Linked DNA regions of Kluyveromyces lactis. The protein of the gene in region 1 purifies or fractionates together with the protein of each later gene. This does not show direct contact. Links are inferred from orthologs where the notes say so. Each region holds a gene or a part of one and is shown in the gene's direction. Other genes may lie near its edges. The genes, in order: TFB3 and TFB4.

What was found.
Region 2: the proteins of TFB3 (region 1) and TFB4 purify together in Saccharomyces cerevisiae (affinity purification with western blotting; 5 studies listed by BioGRID, with this or other methods). This does not show direct contact. The link is inferred for Kluyveromyces lactis from reciprocal best matches to the Saccharomyces cerevisiae genes TFB3 and TFB4.

The regions. Positions count from the first base shown.
Region 1 is NC_006039.1:1,295,811-1,298,858, forward strand, and holds TFB3 (TFIIH/NER complex subunit TFB3), read left to right. Parts: upstream 1-1,531; coding exon 1,532-2,488; downstream 2,489-3,048. Other genes in the region: KLLA0_C14850g (uncharacterized protein), read left to right, coding at 1-1,226; CGI121 (Cgi121p), read right to left, coding at 2,680-3,048. UniProt on the Saccharomyces cerevisiae protein: Acts as a component of the general transcription and DNA repair factor IIH (TFIIH or factor B), which is essential for both basal and activated transcription, and is involved in nucleotide excision repair (NER) of damaged DNA.
Region 2 is NC_006038.1:755,807-759,013, reverse strand, and holds TFB4 (TFIIH/NER complex subunit TFB4), read left to right. Parts: upstream 1-1,442; coding exon 1,443-2,456; downstream 2,457-3,207. Other genes in the region: tRNA methylation protein TRM732, read right to left, coding at 1-997; KLLA0_B08547g (uncharacterized protein), read right to left, coding at 2,502-2,867; BRR1 (Brr1p), read left to right, coding at 3,099-3,207. UniProt on the Saccharomyces cerevisiae protein: Component of the general transcription and DNA repair factor IIH (TFIIH) core complex, which is involved in general and transcription-coupled nucleotide excision repair (NER) of damaged DNA and, when complexed to TFIIK, in RNA transcription by RNA polymerase II.

The DNA.
Region 1 (3,048 bases):
TACTTCGAACCATCAAGGAAGACATAAAGCAAACGTATTCTAAAGTTGATAACATTAACAATTTCATTCAAAGTAGGATTGATACCGGCCATAAAGAAGCCAAAGCAGAAGAGAAAGAGAAAGAGAACAACAAGATAAGAGAAGAAATACCAGGAATGTTCCCGCAAAAAATTGTATACCTCAATCACTTTATTGATCCTCCTGAAAAACAGCCAACTTATTTCAATGCGCTTATGAACATGAAATGGATAGTTTCATGGCCAGTGAAATGGAAAGTTGCTTATTTTGTCACCGTACATATTTTGTCGTTCTCAGACGAACAATACACTTTCTCAGGTAAATCTTACGACCTACTGACTAATACCAAATACCTAACTTTATCTGAAGTTGATAGGCTTTTTGGTTGCTATATGACTATTTACGTGATATCAAGAAACATATATGATATTACTTTCTCCATCAGGGAAATCTATGATTATGCATACCAATACTTAATGGAATATGATGAATTGCATCCAATTTTGAGAAAATACTGGAAAGAGCTATTCATATATGGCCTAATGAATGCGATTCTTGTTTCAATAGGAGCTTCTGCCATACATTTATGTTTGGCTCCTGATGGAAATTCTTCTCCGATTTACACCTGCCTCTGGCACATAGGATTTGGTTCTTCCCAGAGAGTTGGATTTGCAGTAATGCTCATAATATTTTATATTGATTTGACACAAGAGGGTTTGAATAGGTTTAAAAAGCAAGCGGATGATCTGAAGGAACAGGAAGATTTGGCACAAAGAAGGGTGAACAAGAATCAGAACGCTAACATTTTCAAAGATAAAAGTACGGTAATGAATTTTTGCAAGAGCAGAGACGTAGATGAAGACATTCTTCTGGAGTCAACCCCGCCTTTGAACCCACCATCAATTTTACATAGCCCCTTGCTCAAAAAGTCCACAAAAGTTGAACAGAACGAATCAATAAAACTGGTTTCTGTATCAAGTGTCGAACACTTTGAAGAAAGCTACGTTCCTCTTCTGAGAGAAAGATTAGATGAAGAAACCAATAAAAGCAGTAAAACAATTCCATCAAAAAATTTTCTACTTAGTACCATGGTAAAGATAATCGTATTTACATCAACCTTCCTTCAGCAACCTGTTAAGACAATGAAGAAGTTAATGCCATATAAAATATACAATTCTGTCAGAAAGGCAATAAACGCCCCAACTTAGCTAATAAAAAATCATATATACACAATATAACCACATTTTGCTCACCAACGCAGTAGGTCTCCTCAGTAAATGCTCCCTTTACTGTCTTCAGTATCATTTGCCTGCCGCATAAGTAATCCTTTTCTCATCATTTTGTGATTTTAGCTGTCTCTGTCATACAATATCATTCAATATCGGTGGTATAAAACAAGAAACCTTTATTTGAAAAGTTGATGATAAATAATGAACAAATTGTAAGGACAATGAATAAGAAATAGATATCAAACTAAATCATCTGGGACTACGAATCAACGTGAATCGTCATCATGGATGAAGATGAGAAGAAGGACATGTGTCCTATCTGTAAAACAGACAGGTATCTATCGCCTGATATGAAGTTTTTGATCAATCCAGAATGCTATCATAAAATTTGTGAATCATGCGTGGATCGTATATTCAGTTTGGGTCCTGCTCAGTGTCCATACGAAGGGTGCGATAAAATTTTGAGAAGAAATAAGTTCAAGACCCAAATCTTTGATGATGTAGGTGTCGAGAAGGAAGTTGATATAAGAAAACGTGTTTTCAATGTGTTTAACAAGACGCTGGAAGATTTCGATAACAACCAAGACGATTATGATAAATACCTAGAAGAAGTGGAAGATATTATATACAACTTAGACCATGGTATTGATATGGAGAAGACCGAGGAGAGGTTACGAACCTACGAAGAATTAAACAAACAGCTAATCATGGCAAATTTAGAGCGGAGCAAACAAGATGTCGCTAACTTCGAACAGAGACAGAAGTTTGAAAAGGAAATGAAGTTAAAGAAAAGACTACTAGAGAAACAGATAGAAGAAGAAGAGAGGGCTAATAGGGAGTGGGCAAAGAGAGAAATTGTCAACCAGCTCACAGTGAATGAAGATGCTGAGGAAGTTATTGAAAATGTGAAAAAGACTGTCAAGCTAAAGAAATCCTCTGCCAGAAGGAAGCTCGAAGAATTAAATAAAGTGTTAAGAAACAATCCTTACATGACAATGACAAATGGTAGAATGAAGAAGAAAGATACTGTACCGTTCACACCATTCAATGGGGACAGGGATTTACACAAAAGATACGAATTGGTTGAAAACGAGTATAATGATTCTTTCATCAGAGACTTACAAAAGAAGAAGGAATATATAGCCTCAGGATTCAGGGCGGACTTCATTTATGATAGAATGTTAACAGAGGCATTCATGGGTCTTGGTTGTATCATTAGCGAAGAATTACAATCCTCTTAGTTGTATCGCGTTGACGGCAAGTGTTGATAACTCTTCGTTTGATACATCTCCTACTTTATTCAATTTGTAATTCTACCGAAAAAAAAAACACATAGTACAATGGTAAAGAGCTCGGTAGCTCTTTATCCTCATCATAATCATATAGCATTTAGGTTAGTAATCTATTCATTATTAAGAGTCTTCTCATTTGTTCATAACTTATCACAAGGAATACATACCGTTTTGATAATTTCTTTATCGGCAGATGTAGAAAACTCATCATCCGAGACTGGAACTAGGTCCCCATCAACGGAAGCATTGCCATCATAGGGTTCTTCATTACTGTCTTCAATGATTTTGATCACAATTATATCAGTTGTTCCTTCCTTTATACCAAATCTGTTCAATGCATCGCCAATGTTCGAACTAGGAGATAGTGATAAAATGCATTCAGAATGGATAGTTCTTGTCCGCATTCTATTGTACTCTGTTTCCAAAATAGCCTTATAGATGGCACTCGACAATTGTTCAACGGATATCACAGTTTTGGAGTCGATGTATGCAAAAGGTAATTCAGCCAA
Region 2 (3,207 bases), on another chromosome or scaffold:
GTTGTATCTGTTTAGATCTTTTATTCGAATATGTAAGTAGTTCAAAGGTAGGAAGCTTATATTGATCCTGTTGCAGTAGACACCTAACGTCTTCCAGACTGATATATTTTTCATCATGGAAAGGCTCTTCTTCTATAGCCAACTCTTGTCCGATTTTCAGCAATGATAACAGTAATGTATTAGAAAAACCTTCATGTTCTCTTATGAATATGCCAAAACTTTCTGGAAGCTGCTTGAAAACATTTGACAAGACATAAAGTTGAATCTTTTTCGTATATTTAGCATCGTTCAAATAATGGCAGCATAAAGGCTTCCATAATAACAACCATTGTTCTATCGAAGATTCATCAAAGTGGTATTTATACCAATTTAGTAACACGTTAGATAAACACTTTCCAACTTGTGTACACAGAGTTTCCGCCCAGACCAAACTGAGACAAGTCTCAACGAAATTTGGTTTCAATCGCAGAATCACATATAGGTCGATCTGACCACTGAAGATGTCTAACAAATAATATTGAACTTTCATATTTTCTTGTAATGATAAAACAGTTTCAACCCACCCATAAAGCACCGTCTCCATCAGTGTACTCCCATACAAGTGGTTCATTAGCTGCAAAAGCTTCTCAAACATATTTCTCAATGGGATCTCCATGGACACAGTATTGTCAGTCCAAAAATCAATAACGTAATGAAATAAAAATATCCCCTGATCAATGCTGAACATAATTTCTTTCACAGTCATCTCAAATTCATTAGGTTTGTCGTTACCGCTGTTCTTACCTTTCTTTAAAACTTGGTATATCTTTAGCATTAACAGGCTCATCACATCAACACTCCGCACTCTTTCTTTATCGTTGATCCCAGTATCAGCAAGAATACCACTAATATCTTCAAAACAACATAAAAACTGATCACATTCATGCTGTGTGATGCTGGCCTCTGGCTTATACTTAAGAAGCCAGTGCTTCCATTCGCTTACAGCATCCACAGTCATGCTATGCAAACGCTCTCAAACACTACCTGTTGGAATATCAAAAAAAATTATAAACAGAAGACGATTAGCTTTGAGTACCGGTAACCTTTAATATTTGCTCACTGGATAACTAGGAAACAAATGGCAGCTCTTTCAGTAACACAAGATGACTCTCAGCGGTTCGTTCTTTGCTTGTGTCGATGTCTTGTTCATTATTTTTTTCGAGTTAAAGCTGCTACATTTTGGGGCCAATGTTTTCGGGCGGCCAGAAATTTCAAGTAACATGAATTTGGGAAAGGCACATTTAGAGTTGAAGCTGATCTTAAAGGAAGATCAAATCGTAGAGTAAAGCTAGACCCATAGATTAAATTAAAACGCTTCATATACCATAAAGGATCGAATACAACTTTGTGAAATCAGGTTTTTATTATTAATAGCCTTTTCTTTGAAAGAGGAAGCGGTTAAAATGGATGCCATCGCTGATACAGTGTTCCAAGGAACCAAATCGAAGACTCAAGAAATAGAGGATACGCCTTCTCTTCTCACTGTTGTGGTTGATACCAGCATTCATTCATGGGTCCAGCTTACGAAACAACAATCTGGTAGTGGTTCGGAAGGAAGTTCTGGTGAGAAGCAACTTATAGAGGCGTTGAAGTCCATCGTAGTGTTTTTGAATGCGCATTTGGCTTTCAATTCAGGAAACCAGGTGTGCCTCATTGCTGCACACTCCGAGGGTATGAAATATTTGTATCCATCGGCTGATTCGAAACCTAGTATGTCTATGGTAAGTTCTGACATGTATAGAGGGTTCCGTAATGTGGATGAGATAGTGGTGGAGCAATGGTATAGGTTGTTCAAGGAAGAATTAGAAGGTCAAGAGAGTAAGGTTTCGATGAAGAGTAGTTTAAGTGGAGCGATGTCCAGTGCATTAACTTACGTGAACAGAATCCTGAAGGAAAACGAGAATACAAGCTTGAGAAGTCGGTTGCTTGTGATAACGTGCGGTACATCCCAGGGGAAAGATGAGATATTCCAGTATATCCCAATAATGAACTGTATATTCTCGGCAACCAAAATGAAATGTTCCATCGATGTGGTTAAGATTGGTGGGGGTATAGAAAGCACTTTCTTGCAACAAGCAACTGATGCCACTAGTGGGGTGTACTTACATGTAGAAAACACAAGAGGTTTAATTCAATATTTATCAACGGCCATGTTTATAGATCCGTCTTTGAGAAATGTGATAATTAAACCAAATCAAGGGTCTGTCGATTTTAGAACTTCATGTTTTCTAACGGGTAAAGTGGTCGCTGTCGGATTTGTGTGTAGTGTTTGCTTATGTGTGCTTTCAGTGATACCTCCAGGTCAGAAATGTCCTGCTTGTGACTCGCCGTTTGACAGTAAGATTATCGCCAGACTCAGAAGAAAGCCTGTATTGAGCAATGGTGTACCGAAGAAGAAAAATGTTAGTAATAAATAGCATCGGGGTTTTCCATACCTATTTAAAGTACATATATAATCACTGTCAGCAACCACTATTTAAAATATCAAAGTCAAACTGATCACTATAGTAATGGTGTCTCTTTAAATGATCGATTCTCTCGTTTGAATTTGAAAACGTCATCGAACAATCTTGTTCCAGGCATCTTAGCCTGTAATTACCGTTCTTGAACGGATTATGAAATTCTTCGATATGTAATTCCATCCAATACTCACTAGCAAAGTTCCTTAAGCATTGCGTACATACGTTCTCGTGCATCTGGCTGACATGACTAGGGTACAATTCTATAGGAACCCATTCATGATCACAAGGTGGGTCTGAACAAAGCACGGCATTACCATTTAATTCATATCCCCCGCAATGCTCTTCTGATGATCTCCGTTTACTCATATATGACTAAGAGTACAGCACATTAGTGCATATCCTTCCAGTGCATTCGGTCCAGTTGTAGCGTTATAAGAAAGTTTTTTTGTCCACTATTGATTATTTTGATGATCCAAATAGTGAAAAGACAGACCAAAACCTTAAAGTTCTGAAGTTGAGTGATGAGATGAGATAACTAAAAGAAAACGGAGGCAATACATACCACCAGTTCAGTGATAAGCCATTGGATTCCATCAAATGGTTGGTGTAGATTCTAATCAAGGTCCATTGGATCCTGTTTTCGGCCAACACAGTGCTTTTGCATTAAATGACGAGGGTGTTTCACCAAATGTGATCAGATACCTTC